Oryctolagus cuniculus: one gene and its partners. The protein of the gene in region 1 purifies or fractionates together with the protein of each later gene. This does not show direct contact. Links are inferred from orthologs where the notes say so. Each region holds a gene or a part of one and is shown in the gene's direction. Other genes may lie near its edges.

Region 1 (6,289 bases):
CACATGGGAGACCAGGAGGAAGTACCTGGCTCCTGGCTTTGACAGCCATAGCGGCCATTTGTGGGGTGAACCAACGGAAGGAAGACCTTTCTCTCTCTTTCTCTCTCTCTCTCGCTGTCTAACTCTGCCAGTCAAAAAAAAAAAGGTAGACAGAGGAGAGAATCCACCAAGCTCAGATTTTACCTCCTTGGGTGAAATCCAGGGGTGGCTTCTGAGAGATGACAGGTGACAGGTGAGGAAAGAAACTTCATTCTCTTGATTCTTACTGGGAGCCAAGAACTCCTTGAACTTGAACTTACCCATTCAAAAAAAAAAAAAAAAAAAAAAAAAAAAGCTTCTCTTCTAACCCAGGTACTTTCTTCAGCCGGGTTGGGGGGTTGGGTCTTCGGTTCAATGAGCTTCTCCTGGGGGCTCTGAGTTCCAGGGAAGTCTGCACGTCACTCTGCCCTGTAGGGGGGGATGTGGACTCTTGTTCTGGGGCCCTCTAGAGCTTGGCCTGCAGGTCTCCGGGCACCACTGGCTTGTAGCAGGTGCTGCATTACCCTTCCCACCACGCAGAAACCTGCAAGCCCAGCCAAAGGCCTTCGCCTTGCACAGCCCCTCGTCCCAAGTCCCAGGCTTCTGCCAACTCACCAGATCTCTTGGTGCTCCCAAGAGAGCACCTGGTTCCTCCAGGCACAGATGCACCACCTTCGGCCACGTCAAATCTCATGTCCCGCTGGCGCCGCGGCTCACTAGGCTAATCCTCCACCTTGCGGCGCCGGCACACCGGGTTCTAGTCCCGGTCAGGGTGCTGGATTCTGTCCCAGTTGCCCCTCTTCCAGGCCAGCTCTCTGCTGTGGCCAGGGAGTGCAGTGGAGGATGGCCCAAGTGCTTGGGCCCTGCACCCCATGGGAGACCAGGAGAAGCACCTGGCTCCTGCCATCGGATCAGCGCGGTGCGGCGGCCATTGGAGGGTGAACTAACGGCAAAAGGAAGACCTTTCTCTCTGTCTCTCTCACTGTCCACTCTGCCTGTCAAAAAAAAAAAAAAATCTCATGTCCCCAGGATGACACCTGTGGCCAAAGAGGGACTTCTGTTCTGAACTGTGACAAGGAACAAGCACTTCTTCTCTGTCCCTCCCCCATCCAGATTTTCCCAGGAGATAGACATGGAGTGCACTTAGGGAGGGGGCTGGACAATGACACAACACTACCCACCGCCCGCGATTCCCACTGAACAAAAAGCAGGAGTGAATGACGCACTAGGCCGGAAGTGGGGGTGGGCTACAGAGGCGCACAGGAATCTCTGAGGAAGGTGAACTCACATCTTGGCTCTGATGGTCAGAACCCAGCCAATTGTCCACTTTCTCGGCAGCCGAGTGTCGTTTGCCGTTTAGACCTTATTAAAGCTGCTTTTAAGACACAGGGGGCCGACACTGTTGCAGCAGCGGGTTAAGCCACAACTTGCAACAACCAAGCGCCGGTCCCAGCCCCAGGCTGCTCCACTTCCCATCCAGCTCCCTGCTAACGCGCCTGGGAAAGCAGCAGAAGACTCCGGAGTGTTCAGGCCCCTGCACCCACGTGGGAGACTTGGATGGAGTTCCAGGCTCCTGGCTTCAGCCCGGCCCCGGCCCAGCTGTTGAAGCCATTTGTTAAATGAACCAGCTTTTGGAGTATCTCTGCCTCCCCATCTCTCTGTCACTGTGCCCAAACAAAACTAGTAAAACACAGTAAGTGGGACGTACACTTAGCCTGGTGGATGCAACCCTATGTCTCACGTGGACGTACCTGGGTTCAATCCCCGTCTTGACTTCCAACTAACTACAGGCAGCAGGTGATGACTCAAGTGCTGGGGCCCCTGCCACCCACGTGGGAGGCTGATACAGTTCCCAGCTACTGGCTTTGGCCCCATTTGAGCAGCAAACCAGCGGATGGCTCTCAAGTTAAAAAAAAAAATTAGAAATGATAAAAATTTCAATATGCACAAGGTAGGATCAGACAGCGGGGCTGTTACTCTGTTGGTCAGGAGGCACAGGCCCGGGCAGGGCGGTCTGGGACCGTCGTCGCTGGCAGCAGCCAGGACACCGAGGGCGGAGGCGGAGGCCGAGGCCGGACACCGGACCACGGTCCAAGTCTCCAGGAGTTCCCCGAGGGGCCAGTGGGTGCCCGGCGGTCCGCTTTCTATTTCCAGATATGGGCGAGCAGTTGGGTTTCTGTCTGGGTTATTATTATTATTATTTTGGGGGCAGAGCTCTTTGGGTTTTGTTCGCTGCGTTTTTGTTTTGTACTCGAGTCGCGAGATGCGACTCACACGTAGGCGACTCAGAACGAAAACAAGCCCTTAGGAGCAACTAGCAGGAACGCCCTGGCCTCCACCGACACCGACAGGAATGCCACCCTACAGGCCAGCTTCCGCCCGGACTTCCTTCCGCCCGGCCGAGGGCGGGGCCTGCCGGGACACGCCCCCCAGTACGCCCCGCACGGCAGCCAGCGGCCTGCTTTACGGTCGGAGGGCGGGGCGGGCCAGCGGCTTGAGGAGAAGGCCTAGCTGAGGGGCGGGGCCGGAGGCCTTTTGCGGCAGGACGTAAGTGACGGTGACGGCGGCGCGACAGCAGCTGGAGGGCAGAGGAGGCGGGTTGGTGCTTCCCGGGCCGAACCGGGCTGTGGGGGGCGCGGAGGCCGTACCGGGGCGGGGGCTCAGCATGGGTGCTGGGGAGCGGGGCGGGAGCGGCCTGGGGCTGCGTTGGGCGGCGGGTGGGCCCGAGGGCTTGGCGGGCCAGAGCCCGGGGTCCCGCCCGGGCGTCTGACCCGTGGTGCCCCCTCCCCTCCCCGTGACCCCACAGCGCGGCCGGTCCAGCCCTCGCCATGAGGCCGCAGCAGGCGCCGGTGTCCGGGAAGGTGTTCATTCAGCGAGACTACAGCAGCGGCACCCGCTGCCAGTTCCAGACCAAGTTCCCCGCGGAGCTGGAGAACCGGGTACGCAGCCGGGCTCCCTGCACCTGCCGCGCGGCGAGGGCGCGGCCCCGGGGCGGGGGCGGGGGCGGCGGCGGACGCCGGGGGCCGGGCGGGGACCCGTGTTTGGGGAGAGGAGCGGTGCGGCGGAGCCCCGGGGCGACGGCCTCACGGCCCCACCCCGCGTTGTTGTTGACCAGGGCGCTGAACCTGGCTGGGCAGGTGTGGGCCGCGTCCTGCTGCCTGCCCACGCACGGAGGAATCCCCGGCTTCCTCGTGACCGGCGCTTCCGGCCGCTGCAGGGGCCGTCGGGGGTTTCCCAAGTGCTGCAACCCGAAATGGGGGCGTCGCTGGGAGTCGCCGGCTGGGGCCTGGGTAGTGCTGGCTTTGCAGAAGTGGGAAGCGGGGCTGGCTGTCTGCTGTGTAGCCAGACCTAGAAAAGGCAAAGCGCCGTGTCGTGGTTGTGACAGGTGCAGCGGGTCCTAACGGGGTGGGGGGCAGCGTGGCCCCCGGTGGGTGACGCGGCCAGGGAGACTCTAGTTGGCTGGTTGGCCGGGAGCGAGTTTGGCGGCTGCTGATCCTTTGGCTGGGAGGCTGAGGGCCTGAGAGGTGACACTGGCGTGATTCGGGCAGTAACGCTCAGACCTGGGCCTGAGGTCTCTAGCTGAGGGCGTAGGTGCACCTGCTCGCCCGGGACCGGAAATCCGCCACTGTGGTTTTTCCCCAGCTTGGTTATACCACCGGGCAGGGTCGTGGGTGGATTAGAAGCCCAAGCGTGCCCGTTCAAGGTAGGGGTATAGCGAACCTGTGAAATGCCACTCAGGTGTGTGGGCAGCACGGCCGGGTGAAGAGGTAGAAGCTGAGCAAGTGGCCTCGTGGCCGGGGCTGCTGAGCGCCGCTGTTGGACCGCTCGGGCCACACGGTCGGCATGGATTTCTTAGTGTGAAATAAATGTTTTCTGTTCAAGCCTCCTCGGGGAGACTCTGAGATTCATGAACTTTCAAATCAGAATGTAAACTCTGCTTTCTCCACCACAGTCCTTTGGATGTTACAAGATTCCTTTGTTTGTAGGTTTTGGAGTCAAACTTTTGCTTCCTAGTTGAGCCAGATGTATGGGTGTGGGTGCGTGTGGTTGGGTGCACATGCATGTGTGTGAGCGTGTGTGTGTGCCTGCATGTGTGTGTGTTTGGATATCTGCACGTGTGTGTCTGCGTGGGCCTGTGTCCGCGTGTGTGTATGTGTGCATATCTGCACTGCGTGTGTCTGCGTATGTGTGTGGATATCTGCGCGTGTGTGTCTGCGTGTAGTGTGCATGTCTGCACGTGCGTGTGTCTGTGGATATCTGCACGTGTATGTGGGCATGTGTCTGTGTGTAGTGTGCATATCTGCATGTGTGTCTGCGTGTGCATGTATGTGTGCATGTCTGCACGTGTGTGTCCACATGTGTGTTTGCGTGTGCATGTATTGTGCATGTCTGCACGTGCCTTGTCTGGATATCTGTACGTGTGTGTCTGCATGTGTGTGTATGTATGTGTGTCTGCACGTGCCTGTGTCTGTGTGCATGTCTGCACGTGTGTGTCCGTGTGGGCATGTATGTGTGCATGTCTGCACGGGCCTGTGTCTGGATATCTGCACATGTGTGTCCGTGTGGGCATGTATGTGTGCATGTCTGCACGGGCCTGTGTCTGGGTATCTGCACATGTGTGTCCGTGTGGGCATGTGTGTGTGCATGTCTGCACGTGCGTGTGTCTATGTGTGTGTGTGCATGTCTGCAGTTGCGTGTGCCCATGTGCCTGTCTGTGTGTGTGCCCATTGTGCGGGTGCGTGCCTGTGGGGGGCAGCCTCGCCCTTGCGGTCTAAATACGGCAGTGCGATGCAGTTAGCATGCTGCCCGATGGGTGTGGGAAGTGGACGTTTCTAGATCCTGGAGCCCTCCTACTGCGTGGACTTCTCTTGGCCCAGAGCTGACGTGCTGAGTACTACAGCGCTCGGCAGTGCCTTTGAGTGCTCTTTTTTTTCCTTGTTACATCTTTAGGATAAAACACACTAGCTTGTGTTTTAACCACTTTTGCGTGTGTGTCTGTTGAGATTACATGTAAATTACAGGTTTAATTTTTCCTGGCTTGCTTGCCTTGTTTCTCTCTAACTTGCCCTGGAAATGTTGCGGGTTGCTCCCCCACGGGGGCTGAGTCGCCCTGTGGGAGGACATGGCAGCCCTGCCTTTCAGTAGTGGGAGAGGCTGACGCACAGATGTCTGGCGTGAGAGCATCCGTGTGTCCTTCCAGGAGGGAGCGAGGGCCAGGCGTTGTTCTCAAGTTCACTTTCGCCTCTGCCCGAGAACCCAGGCCTTTGTGCTCGGGCTCTCCCGCCGGAAGAGTTCTTTACCGGAAGCTTAATTGTCACTTCTGGCAGCAGGCAGAGGTCTCTGTCACCCGTAGCCCGGGGAGACGGCCGTGCGTGCGCTGTGGCTGAGGCAGGTGACCCTGCCCTCTGTGTCTGGTTGACCGGCACCGTCAGACCCGCGGTGCCACGGACACACCGCACGTGGAAAGGCGCGCCGGATTGCTCTTGGCTTCGGGACTCACAGGGCTCCCTGGCCCACGTTGGCACATGGCCCCGGGCTTCCCGCGCCTCCAGCTTCTGATGCCGCACCTGCTGCCTCCGTGCTTTCAGCTCCCTCTCTTTTCTCATAGCTTTCCAGAAGCTTCTGCTTACCTCTCCTTTTTTCTAGTCTCTTCTTTTTAAAAAAAATTTATGATTTATTTGAGAGGTAGAGTTACAGATGGAGAGAGAGAGAGAGAGAGACGGGTCTTCCATCTGCTGGTTCACTCCCCAAATGGCCACAACGGCTGGAGCTGGGCAGACCCAAAGCCAGGAGCCAGGAGTTTTCTCCGGGTCTCCCGCATGGGTGCAGGGGCCCAGGGACTTGGGCCGTCTTCTGCTGCTTTCCCAGGCCATAGCAGAGAGCTGGATCAGAAGAGGAGCAGCCAGGACATGAACCAGCACCTGTATAGGATGCCAGCGTTGCAGGCAAGGCTTAGCCTACCAAGCCACACCGCTAGCCCCTCTTTCTGGTCTTAACAGTAATTCTAATCTGAAAGAAATAAGGTGTTTCCGGGTTGGAGCCCATGGTTTTGACTCCTATGTAAGAAAGTGTATCTCAAAGGACGTTCTTACCAGATCGGAATGAGCCAGGCAAGGCAGATATGCTTAGAGTCAAAGCAGGAAACCTGACCGCGCTAACGAGGGGCACGTGACCGTGCCAGCAGCACCTGTGTCCTGAGCGCCCTCCTCAGGCCGCCTCCCAGGATGGGGGACCGTGAGGGACGCACCCTCGCTCGCCCCCGTCTCCCCCA
Region 2 (6,247 bases), on another chromosome or scaffold:
TTCTGAGTCATGATCACTTGTGTACGATGGAGTCCAGGCCTGGGAATCTCCTGAGTAGAGCTAAGGGAGGACAGCTAACCAGCTCTGTAAATGACTTATTTCCAGCCCCCAGGGGAAACAGGAGCCTTGCAAAAGCTAATTACACTGACTTCAGTCAACAAATATTTGCAAAGACTGATAATCCAATGATTCTTTCCTAAACCCTAGGTCCTGTGCTGGGCAATTACATGTATTTTCTAATCTGCAGCTCACAAATGATCTCATGGGATAGATTCTACTGTTCAACATCCATGGCTTGGGAAAAAGACAATTAAGATGTAAAGGTTAAGTAAAGTGTGCGGTCACAAAAGTTAGGACACTCATCCCAATATTGAAGTTTCCCAAGTCAGTTACTCTCCCTGTGTCTCAGTTCCTCTGTGAACCAGGTTGTTTCTTTACTTTTTTTCAAACTTCCCTTTTTATCTGGTTTTATTGACCATATGACCCCTATGGGACCTGAAAGTGGGGGATTTCTAATGCAGGCCAAGGGTTGAAGATATTTCCTAATCTGTGAGTGCATTCCTGAACCTTACTAGCACGTTAGTAATTTTCTTGTGTACCTCCACTACTTTCTCTGATGGCTCAGACAAAATTCTGTTTTGCATTAAAATCGAGAATTAAATTTGAATGTTATAATATTACCTTACTTTATTTGTGTACTAGATCTGAATATCAACTCACCAACTGAGGTGACTCTGTCAGAATGGAAGGAATTTGATACCAACTCTGGGGCTTCCACCTTTCCTGTATGCAGTGGCTAAATTTGATAGGCACTGGGGATTTGGGGGAGTTCCAGGGCTCCTCTGGTCCTCGAGTCAACTGTCTCTGTAGGTGTCTGTTGGAAATTCATCCTTCACCGGTCCCATGCAATGTTCAAGGGTCCCCATATGTTGCTGTCCAGGTGTTCCTACTTCCTGGAAAAGAATTTCTGTGCAACATGTGAGGGCTTAGAATCATTCTGTTGCTTCTGTGCCACACAACTGTGGTCTCCAGTGTGGTCCAAGACCTTATCTCTTTTAGGTAGTATCTCCTAAACTTTTTCATATTGTATTCACAAATTTTAAAAAAACAAATTTAATTTACTCAGTTATTTGAGACACAGAGAGGATGAAAGAGAGGAAGGAAGAGGGAGGAAAAGGCGGTGGGATTCCCATCTGTTGGTCCTTTCTCAAAAGCTGGGAGCTAGGAGCACAATCCAGGTCCCCCAGGTGGGTGGCAGGGACCTAACCACTTGAGTCAGCAACCACCTGCTGCCACTCAAGGGTGCACACTAGCAACAAATTTTTATCCGCATTTTTTGAGATATTCATATCCTAAGTCTTCTTTTTAATTAACTGAAATTTATTCTAAAAGGAAACCTTGCATCATTGCAATAGACAAATAGTATCCCTTGTCACAAAGAAAAGATAGCAACAAACATAAATTTTATGAAGCCAAGGGATATTATTTATGAAGCCGAATAAAGTCATTACATTCTACATGTTTACCATTCGGTGGATCACATGCTTTTTATTCTAAACTTAAGTAATAAAGTCAGAAAGACTCAACGCTCCAATGGGAGATTGTGGGAGAGGAAAAAATGGATTAACATTTGAAAACTAGAATCGCATTGCTGTTCATTTACCTTTATATTTGGAAGTAGGGTGGCGTGATAGAGCACAGGACTGAAAGAAAGGGATGAGCTATTTCGGTCACAATTACAAAGAACGAGGACAGAATACAGGCCGTCTCACTTTTTGGACCTTAAGATAGAAGACCGCGTTCGCTTGGACTTCCAGAGCTGGACTACATCCCCCACAATACATCGCGCGCGGCCCCAGGAATGCCAACGGGCTTCTCTGGCAGTTTTCCCTCTGTCCCTCCTACAACTCCCACAAGCCCCCTCGGTCCCGGGCTGCGGCCAGGCCCGGGATGGAGGCGGAGGCGGAGGCGGAGGCGCGGGAGTTATGGAGGGGGCGGGTTCTGCAGGGAAGTGCGTCAGAGGAGGCGCGGGGAGAGTAGGGTGCTGTGGTCTGAGCTAGAGGGTGAAGCTGTTGGAGCAAGAGCATGGGCGGTGAGTGAGTAGGGCTGGCGTCGCCGGGCGGGGGTCGCGTAGCCGTTCGGCTTCCCGGTGGTTTGCAGAGGGCCCCTTTTCCTGTGTGCGGCGGCCGCCGGAGCTGGGCGCCTTCTGAGCGGCAGGGGGATTTCCTGGGGGCCAAGCGGTCTGGGCAGGGGCCTGGTTGGGGACCTGAGGCCCCTGGCCGGGGGGCGGCGCAGGGCTGCCCCGCCCCAGCCTCGGGAGGCCGTAGCTGGCGTTGGCCTCGCTGGAGCCGCCGCTCCTGTGTAGGGACCTTCTGAGGTCATTTGAGAGCCCCAGCATGAAAGGGGATTTAAAAAAAAAAATCAAAATATGAACCCAACTTCTTGAATTATCGTTAATTATCGTCATTACTTTGATCTCTCCTGAGTCACTTCCCATCTTCCCAACTCAGCAACCCCAGTTTGCGAGCCTGTTTTCCTGCACCTTCCTAAGGTGTTTGGTGCGGTCACGGTGTACACTTGCAGTATTTGACTCAGCGTGATCCGCCTTGAGTCATTTTACTGCGGCCATTTACTACTGCCGTGGAGCCCTGTCCACGTCTTGGGAGTGTATGTATTTTGCCTTGATTCGGAGTTTTCTTTCTGTCTGAGGAGGGATCACTTAGTTTTTAGGAAGGTATGTTCCACCTTAGGATTAAGAGAGAGAGCAAGGTAGCAGGTGAGGAGGCGCAGATGTGTTAGGAATGGAGAGAATAGACAGGAGTGAAACATTTCCACAGCATAAAGCAGCTTGTCTTATCTTTGATAGATGGGGAGATGGATATCTAGCATTATTACATGTTATTGTTTTCTTGTTATTCCGTACACCTAGGACAACCTTTCCCTCGACTTAACAAACATTGTCAACTCTTTCAAATAGCTCCTGACTCCTGCCCTTGTTTTGGGAGGCTTCCCTCTTCAGAGGAAAACTGGGAGAATCCGATTTTCACTGCTTCCTTTTCCTGTGCCTTTCTCACGCTCAAACCCAGAACGCCTTAATGCTCTCCAGCTTGTGTAAAAATTCGGTCTATACTTAAAAATGTGTGCACGGTACACTGCTGACCATGGGCATGTCTGTTTGTATCTGTAATGTGTATGTCCATTTCAGTGTTGTCTGTTTTAGTATGCAGGTGATAGACTAGAGAACAAGACCTCTGTCTCCGTAGCATCCTGGGTATGTGAGCATTCAATAAGTACTTTCATGGGAATGAGTTTTGTTCTTACACTTAAAAATGTGCTTGCTTTTTTTTTTTTTTAATTTAAAAATATATTATTACTCTAAACCAAGGCATGGGGAGTAGTTTCAAGGGTGATTCTGAGATAATTCCTTTCAAAACAATCTTTCTTATTTGTAAAGTCTGACATCTTCTTTCTTCAACTTTTAAACAGAGCAGTCTGAATGCCAGAATGGATAACCGTTTTGCTACAGCATTTGTAATTGCTTGTGTGCTTAGCCTCATTTCCACCATCTACATGGCAGCCTCAATTGGCACAGACTTTTGGTATGAGTATCGAAGTCCAGTTCAAGAGAATTCAAGTGATTGGAATAAAAGCATCTGGGAAGACTTCATTAGTGATGAGGCAGATGAAAAGACTTACAACGATGCACTTTTCCGATACAACGGCACAATGGGATTGTGGAGACGGTGTATCACCGTACCCAAAAACACACATTGGTACAGTCCGCCAGAAAGGACAGGTATTCCTCTTATTTTCACTTCTCTCTAATGTACTTGTTTAGTAGCATAAAGTGATCTATGATTGCTGAATTATATATAAGCAGATTTGTGGGCATCTTACGTCTTCTTATGTCTCTTCTCTCCCTACCACCTCTTCACCCCAACTTCTATGCATTGCCATGCTACTGCTTTAGTTCTCCATTCAGATCTTTAGAGCACTTTGTAAGGGACAACTTTACAATTTACTTATGACTACTTGGGTTGGTCGCTTAGCGGAGGAGCTTTATCTTTCAATCATAGCAGAACAGGTTTGAATTGCCATATATCAAAAGTGATAGTATATCATTATATATGAAGAAAAGGAAATCATGTGAAGGAAAGGTGGAAAAGTTGGTCACAATTCACTGTAAAATGTTCACTTGTGTTTAGGAGGGCCTGGAGCACTTGATACTGGAATCCTACTAGTTGTTAAGTCATTTATTCACTGAGTATTTACTGCCTGCCCCTGTGTTCCAGGGCTTTATAGCTTGGAGAACAAATCCTTAGTTGTGGGGAGCTGTCATTTATTAGAATGCTAAGGGTGGCAGGCAATAAACAGAATAAAGGAGTGTAACAGTATAAACAAAATAATTATACAGTGTGTGAGATGACGACATTTAACATGGAAGAATGAAGCAAAAGATTTGGAAATACAGGAAAGGAATATTGTAAGCATAGGTTATGATTTTCCATAGGATAATTAGAATAGATTTCATTGATAAAATGATAAAGACTTGGTATAGGTAAAGACCAAATAAGGGTGTTAACTATATGGGTAGTTCGTGGCAGCAGGGCAGAGGCTGGTGGTGATCATTAAGGTTGGAAGGAACAAGGGCTACAGAGACTGTGGCAGGAGCATGGTTAAAGTATTCAAGGACCACCAAAGAACCTACTGGGCTGCCATGGAAGGAGTGGGGGAGAGTTGGGTATGCTGTCAAAGATGAACCCTTAGGTAGGAGTAGGGCACATCATACAGTACTCTAGCTATGATGTGGAGGTGAGTTTTTACTCTTGACTACATAGGAAAGCCTTTAGAGCAGGAACACTTAGAGGAGTGGAAAGACGTGATCTGGTTGCCCTGGATGATATAGTGAGAACAGGCGGGCAGCAGGCAAGGATGAAAGCTAGGGCACTCATTAGGATGCTAATGCTGTCATTCATATGAGAGGTGATTGTGACTCAGTCCGTTGTAATAGTGAGCAACAGCTGGATTGTGGATATATTTTGAAAGAAGAACTTCTAGTATTTCCAGATGGTGTTTATATGGACAAGAATGGCTGGAAAGTTTCTTGTCTGAGGAGCTGGATGGGTGAAATTTTTTGCTGAAATGGGAGCCATGACTTCACTAGTTGTGGGGGGAAGAGGATAAAGTTTCTATTATTTCAATCTTTGTACTCTCCCCTTCTTCCTGCTCTTCTTATATTGCTATTTGATGATATTTTACTCCTTTTATTTCTTCCTCATGCATGTATCCTCAGAACCAGTGGCATCCATTGGGCTTTGATAAGACCTGTTTCAGGTTGGAACCAAAGAAATTCATGGTGATATTTTTTTACAGCACCTTTTATTTCAGAGAATAATTACTAAAAGAGATTATTGTTAAATGTTTGTAATGGAAACTACAAACAGTCATTGTTTTTTTCCAGAGTCATTTGACGTGGTTACAAAATGCGTAAGTTTCACACTAAATGAACAGTTCATGGAGAAATTTGTTGATCCCGGAAACCACAATAGTGGAATTGATCTACTTCGGACCTGTGAGTATTTTGATCTCAGTAGGACGATTGAGGGAGAAAGGAAATAATTTTGTATTGTATTTAACTCTGCTTTTGGAACAAGATGAGGTAGTAGTGTCATATTGAAATAAGATCCCAGGAGCTGGCATTGTGGTATAGCACGTGTGGCTATGGCCTGCTTTGCCAGCATCTCCTATGAGCGCTGTTGAAGTCCTGGCTGCTCCACTGCCCAAAGAGCTTCCTGCTGTTAATGTGCCTGGAAAAGCAATGAATGATGGCCAGTCCTTGGGACCCTGCCACCCAGGTCGGAGAGTTGAATGGAGTTATAGGCTCCTGGCTTTAGCTTAGCCCAACCCCGGCTGTTGGGGCCATTTGGGGAGTGAACCAGCAGATGGAAAATCTCTCTCTTGCTTACAAATAAATCACGTAAGTTTGCAAAAAAAAAAAAAAAAAAAATCCAGTGACAGTTCTGTTCTAATAACAGCAACTTATTTTAGAAGGTAGATACCTACCAAATTTCCATGAGTTGAACTTGAGGGAGGCAGTTGATATAATTGCGTAGTGGAATCCAAACTTCCAGAAGATTGATGGACTCATTTAATTAAGAGAAAATTTAGTAGGAATTACTTAATTGACAGGCATGTTGAAAAAAGTTGGCTGCAGGCTCTAATTGAGTAACTTAGTATCAGGCCTACT
Region 3 (6,358 bases), on another chromosome or scaffold:
GCAGCCAGGACTTGAACCGGCATCTGTATGGGATGCCAGCACCACAGGTGGTGGCTTTACTCACTATGGCACAGCACCGGCTCCCTAGATACTCCTTTTTTTAGTCTGGATTTTATTCTGGACAACTTTTCAGAAGTGGCTGGCAATTGAAACCTTATGTCCTATTAAACATCCTTTCCAGCAAATAACTTCAATCATCTAAAGAAAACTGGACAAGAAAATAGACTCTCCAAATCTTGGGGTGATGATTATGCCTCTGTTGGTGCTCATCTAGCTAAGAAAGAGGTTTGCAACCCAGTATTCTAGTGTCCTGGAGTGATCCTTATGTGTAGTTGGATGGTGGAATGTTAACTTCTCCTCCCCTTTCAGCACAGTCTAGCCAACAGACATCCATAATTACAGGTTCTTAGTTAAAAGTAGGAAAATAAAATTTTAATTTGTGAGGTGAAGAAATGAGAACATCTTAAAATCGGAGTCAAATAGACACCTGGAAAATGAAAGTTAACTTCCTGTGAAGGAAACAACATGGTGACAGGTAAAAAAATAAGTAAAAATTTTCTCTCTGGTAACATTTTTTTAAAAAAAGAATATGAACTGGGACTGGTGCAGTGGCGTATCGGGTAAAGTCGCCGCATGCAGTTCAAGCCCCGGCTGCTCCACTTCCGATCCAGCTCTCTGCTATGGCCTGGGAAAGCAGTGGAAGATGGCCCAAGTCCTTGGGCCCCTGCACCCATGTGGGAGGCCCGGAAGAAGCTCCTGGCTTCTGATAGGCGCAGCTCTGGCCACTGTGGTCATCTGGGGAGTGAACCAGCAGATGGAAGACTCATTCTTTCTCTCTCTGCTTCTGCCTGTCTGTAACTCTTCCTCTCAAATAAATAAATACATCTTTTAAAAAAATATGTATTCATTTATTTGAAAGGCAGGGAGCTGGATCAGAAGTGCAGCCGCCAGGACTGGAACCTGTGCTCCTGAGATTCCAGTGTCGCGGGTGGCAGCTTCACCTGCTGTGCCACAACACTGGCTCCTCCAGCAACTTAAATTTACCTGGTAGAGGGTTAGCCAAGGTGGGGAACTTTCTTCCTTCCTTTCCTCCCTCCCTCCCTCCTTCCTTTTTTCTTCTTTCTTTTTCTTTCTGCCTCTCTCTCTCTCTCTCTCTCTCTCTCTCTCTCTCTCTCTCTCTCTCTCTCTTTCTACCAAGGACCTTATAACATCAGTAGTGGTCTCTTTCTTTTTACCAAGGACCATTTGATACTTATAACATCAGTAGTGGGACATACAAAGTTATCAACTTAAAAATTAGCCTTCCATAGATTTATGGAATTTCTAGTGCTGCCTATGGTTGCCAGAACAAATGATTCTGTGGGCCTTATACGACCTGAGGGCTGGATGTTTCCCACCCTTGGAAGACTTAAAAATATACACTGATTAAAAAGAACTCTCCAGGGAGTTGCAATAAATGCTGGATTGAAGCCCTTAACAAGAATGAGCCAGAACTGATGACATGTGCTTTCTGTAAGTCAGAGAAGGAACCGGACGAGACTCCAGAAAACAGAAGGCCGCCCTTGGCCTTTTGGTGCCCAGTGTTAAAATGTCAGCAACGGGGCAGTCAGCAGGACTTAGCATCGCCTCTGAAGCTAAGGAACCACGGCTTCAGAGAAGTGGGCGGGGGACACCTTTTGGAAGGTGCTGCCTTCAGGAGAGGAATGGCCAGAGGACACGTGGCACTGCTGTTGGGTTCATCGGGGTCTCGGGCTAATAACCGCTGCGCTCTACGGACACCTGGCCAGCAGCTCGCTAGGGACTGGGGCTGTTTAAGAGAGCCCGGTATTTCCTGCTTGTCTTCTCTAACTAGGTGAGGTCAGGGGTGCGGGCGCTCCACCCGCCGTGTGGCCGTGGGAAACTAATGGAGTTAAGGGCAGCCTGGACTCGGCCGCCGCTGGCACTCGAGGCTCCGAGGCTCGTGCCGGCTCTCCTCCGCCTTTCTCCCCGGCCCCTCGGCAGGAGCTTCGCCCCACACTGCCTCTTCTCGTCCGGGCGCCCCCTCCGTGTGGGAGCCACAGCCCGGGCCATTCCGCCACCCGGGCACAGGGGACTCGCAGAGGCGAATACTTCGCCAACATCGTTTTAAATAAAGTTTTTGCCATCAAAAAAGGGAGGGGGCGGGATGGAAGGAGGCCTACTTAATCGCCAAGCGGTTGGCCAACGCGTGAAGGGGCGAAGCAGGAAGACCGCGAGACTCATCGGTGATTGGTCAGGCTAGAAGCCTGTCTGGACTGTACCACACTTACTTGGAGGGGGGGTTGGCAAATTCGAGAGACGAGCTGCTTGCTTGTGAGTACTTCCAGCACACACGCATAATTCTTTTTTATTTCCGAGGGTTTCCGTTAGGATACAACAGGGACAGAAAACAAGGCGCAGGAAACGGAGGGAGTCTCCCGGCCATTTCCTCATTCTCGACTCCCGCACAGTATGCCGACCCTGCTCGCCTAGTCGTCAGCGGAACCCGACGCCCTTGCGCGCGCGTTCTCGTCTTCTTGCGTGCGTACGGCGCTGTGCTCCTACAGCCAATCAGACGGCGAGGTCGCCGCGGTCGCCGCGGTTCGCGCGCACGCCCCAGAGGGGAGACGGGGTGGGGGCTGTGGGTGAATGGGAGAGTGAGCAGGGGCGGGCGCGACGGCGTGAGCCGCATGAATGAGAGAAACGTGCCCAGCGCGAGACGTCGCGCGCGCCCGGGCCAGGGAGCCAATGGGAACGCTGGGAGGGCTCGAGACCCGGCACTGAGCGCAACGGCCGCGCGCCGGCTCGCTGACGAGCGTCGCCAGGCGGGAGCGCGCGGGAGCGGGGCGGGCGTGGAGCGTGCGGGGGCCGCGCGCTGCCTCTCAGAGGCCGGACGGCACTGCCGGGAGGCGGCGGTGACAACGACGGCGGCGGTGACGGGCGCCGCTCCGGGGGTGAGTACCGGGGACGCCGGCCCCTGCGGAACCGGAAGTGCCGGGCCAGTGAGGTGGGAGGGGAGAGTGACCTCTAGGGAAGGGGGACCGGAGCGGGGGAGGGGGTTAAGGCCCCGGCCCTGCTCCAGGCCGGGTCATCCAGCCGCGGCAGGGACCCGTGGGCCCCTGAAACGGCCGACGAGTCGAGGCTGGGATCCAGGGCCGCCGGGGCTCGGGACCGGGTAGTGCCGGGCCGCCGGGCTCCGGACTGCGGTCTTCGGAGCCTGGCACCCAGCCGCCGCCCCTTCCGCCCCCGGCCCTCCGCCGCTCGCTCCCCCAGCCTCGGTGGGCCCCGCCGCCGCGGATTCCGCCCTCTGGGGCTCCGTGGACGTTACCTGTGCCCGGGGACGGGTTCGGTGCCGTTCCCCCTTTGACCGTGCGTTTCGAGTTCTCCACTCGAGCTTCGTCCTGTAACCTGTGCTTTTCCACCCTCCAACCCCACCGGCCGAGGGCTCCGTGCTGCCAGTACTTTGTACTTTTTGCCAGTGGAGCCCGAACGTGTTCGCCGGTGTTTTTACCTGTAGGGATCTCTTTGTGGGGCGGGGGGTGAGGGTGTCTCACCCCCTTGACCGATTGAAAACACGGCCGCGAGAAGGAAGAAAGTGGCTCAAAGTTACTGACTCCAGATCGTTTTTTTGCCCTGCGTTTTTCACTTCCTGGTTAATGCCATCTTGCCCAGGTTGATTTCACGTTTGCATTCCCACCTTTTATCCCGATTAGCCCTTCAGTCCTGTGTCGGATTTCTAAGGAGGGCTCGCTATAGGCCATTCCAGAGAACCCGTCAAGTGTTTACAAGAATTGTATTGCCATGTACTTTGCTACCTTGATATATAGTGATAAAATCCACATTAAACTTTTGACTCTTTTTTTTCCCCCCGATATCTCAACATGGATTATTCCATGGCACTTCAATGGCTGTGTTTTTAGCTTTTCCTGTATTGTGCTGTTACACCACCTTGTTTCAGCAAGCAATGTCTGTGTTGCCAGGGATACTGTTCGGATCCCTTAACCCCTTTAAGGAGGTATTTGTGTTCAATCTTATTAAAGCTCTCAAAGTACGTGTCCTATAGTATTCGTTTTATATGTGCATATTTTCATTCCATAGTTGACCGTGTGCCTGAATATGTCGCATATGCCCTTGTATATTTTTTGATACTGATGTGGATCCACGCTGTTGCCACTGTTGAACGACATTTACCCTTCCAATCTCATCCCTGCCATCTGCAGTAGATCCTTCTGCTAAGACTTAGTATGTCTCTCTACATACCCAGGAAATTTTTAGGTTTCATCCTGCCCCTTCTTTTAAAATATTTATTTATTTGAAAAGCAGAGACAGACGCAGAGACAAACCTTGCATCTGCTGGTTCACTTCCCAAATGCTTGCAGCAGTCCAGGTTAGGCTTGGCTGAGGCCAGGAGTCCTGAATTCAGTCCAGGTCTCCCATGTGGGTGACAAAGCCCAGTCCTTAAGCCATCACCTGCTGCCTCCCAGAGTGTGCATTAGCAGGAAGCTGGGTTGGAAGGAGAGGAGGCCAGTGTGGGATGCAGGTGTCCCAGGCAGCATCTTAACAGCTGTGGTAAATGCCCGCCCCTGAAGCCCTGTTTTTAAGGACAGAAATGATGAATCTTGAAGGAAGGTGCCTTTGCTTTCCATGCCACAGGTGAGAACGAAAATGATGAATTCAAGGTACATTTGTATTTTTATTATCCAAATTTTCTGATACTTTCAATCTCTACCTCTGGCATTAAGAAATACCAGACTGCTTGAGGAGAATAAAATTGCTTTGTTTTTAAGTTCTAACTTCAGTAAATTTTGTGGTGTACAGATTTCAAGTTGTCGTCATTGGGCAGTTAGTATAGTGGATAAACAAGAGGTAGAAAGGGTTTGTCAGCAAAGGGGCATGTGAACTCTTGGCTTCTGAACCTGGCTGCCCAAGTGATTCAGTGGAGTGCCCTCAGGCATTCTCTAGCCTTCAATTTTACAGAGTGGGATAAGGGACTGTGTCACCAGATAATGTGAGTAAAGTGCTTTGAGATCACTAGATGAAAAGCATCCTATAAAGTCAGGGTGCTGATGTTATTTTGTTACTATCATCAACAGAAGTAATTGTTACTTTTAATCATATTGGGGTAGGTGGGGCTCACTTTACTTCCTAATAGGCCAATGTAGGAATGAAAAACTTTTGAATTGGAAAGAAAGGGACTAACCTTTATGGTAGCTTCAGCTTCTCATAGATGGGATCTCATCTATTTGATGCAAGGTCCTTAGTGGGTGATCCCAGAAGACCAACAATTCAACTTCTGCCTCCTCAGTATCATAACTACAAGGCACAGAGGGATAAGGGAGAGACATACACAAAAAGGAAATGAGACTTGCTGTCCTAATATGAGTTGGGTTTTTCATTTTTCGTTGTAGCAATACTGTGTCCAAAGAGAAACCTCTGTTTTAGGCCCTCCCTTTACAGTTGTACCCTTGTTTTTAGTTTTTGACTTTTTTTTTTTAAGATTTATTTATTTATTTGAAAGAGTTACACAGAGAAGGAGAGGCAGAGAGAGAGAGAGAGAGTTCTTCCATCCGCTGATTCACTCCCTAATTGGCCGCAGCGGTCAGAGCTATGCCAATCCGAAGCCAGAAGCTTCTTTCAGGTCTTCCCCGTGGATGCAGGGGCCCAAGGACATGGGCCATCTTTTATTGCTTTCCCAGGCCATAGCAGAGAGCTGGATTGGAAGTGGAACAGCTGGGACTCAAACTGGTGCCCATATGGGATGCTGGCACTGCAGGCAGCAGCTTTACTCGCCACACCACAGCACCGGCCCTTTGACTGTTCTATATTTATTGCTGCTTGTTTGTGTCAGAGGAGATGGGTCCCTTACAAGAACTAGTTCTTTGATGACCTTAGACCAAGTAAAACCATGTTCTCCTTGTTCTGATCTCAACAGCACTTAGAATTCTGAGTAGAGGATTTTAAATCCTTTTTTTCCTCCCCATTCCGAGTCCTTTCCCACATACATATAAGAGAAGTGGAAAATAATCTTTCTTTCAAAACACATTTTTTTAACAGAGTAGCCTGTGGAACTTTTAGCCTTGTTCTTAAGAAATGCCCTGAAAGGATTTTTTGATAGAGGTATTTGTTTTTCTCCAGGTGAGGCACTGTAACCCCGTTGAACTCTGTGTCCGGAAAGCCCAGGATTGAAGAAGACAGACCAGACACATTGACCTGGAAGCAGGGACATCTGTGGAACTTCGCTTTCATCCTGAGTTCTTTTTTAAAGTATCACGTGGAATTGATTTGTTCATCTTATTCTGCTTATTGGGAAGAAATGGCTTCAAGGATTTTAAGTTTTCCTTCAGTTTTGCATGAACTCTGT

The links.
Region 2: the proteins of GOLGA7 (region 1) and CLDND1 purify together in Homo sapiens (affinity purification with mass spectrometry; 3 studies listed by BioGRID and IntAct, counting the BioPlex papers as one, with this or other methods). This does not show direct contact. The link is inferred for Oryctolagus cuniculus from reciprocal best matches to the Homo sapiens genes GOLGA7 and CLDND1.
Region 3: the proteins of GOLGA7 (region 1) and ZDHHC5 purify together in Homo sapiens (co-immunoprecipitation; 3 studies listed by BioGRID and IntAct, with this or other methods). This does not show direct contact. The link is inferred for Oryctolagus cuniculus from reciprocal best matches to the Homo sapiens genes GOLGA7 and ZDHHC5.

The regions. Positions count from the first base shown.
Region 1 is NC_091433.1:91,857,499-91,863,787, forward strand, and holds the start of GOLGA7 (golgin subfamily A member 7), read left to right. Parts: upstream 1-2,541; 5' UTR 2,542-2,616; intron 2,617-2,698; exon of another isoform or gene 2,699-2,824; 5' UTR 2,825-2,846; coding exon 2,847-2,957; intron 2,958-6,289. UniProt on the Homo sapiens protein: May be involved in protein transport from Golgi to cell surface. The ZDHHC9-GOLGA7 complex is a palmitoyltransferase specific for HRAS and NRAS.
Region 2 is NC_091435.1:52,939,005-52,945,251, reverse strand, and holds the start of CLDND1 (claudin domain-containing protein 1), read left to right. Parts: upstream 1-1,930; 5' UTR 1,931-2,085; coding exon 2,086-2,092; intron 2,093-3,227; coding exon 3,228-3,271; intron 3,272-3,486; coding exon 3,487-3,796; intron 3,797-5,461; coding exon 5,462-5,572; intron 5,573-6,247. UniProt on the Homo sapiens protein: Plays a role in negatively regulating the permeability of cells to small molecules.
Region 3 is NC_091432.1:14,476,876-14,483,233, reverse strand, and holds the start of ZDHHC5 (palmitoyltransferase ZDHHC5), read left to right. Parts: upstream 1-2,609; 5' UTR 2,610-2,951; intron 2,952-3,325; exon of another isoform or gene 3,326-3,632; intron 3,633-6,132; 5' UTR 6,133-6,358. UniProt on the Homo sapiens protein: Palmitoyltransferase that catalyzes the addition of palmitate onto various protein substrates such as CTNND2, CD36, GSDMD, NLRP3, NOD1, NOD2, STAT3 and S1PR1 thus plays a role in various biological processes including cell adhesion, inflammation, fatty acid uptake, bacterial sensing or cardiac functions.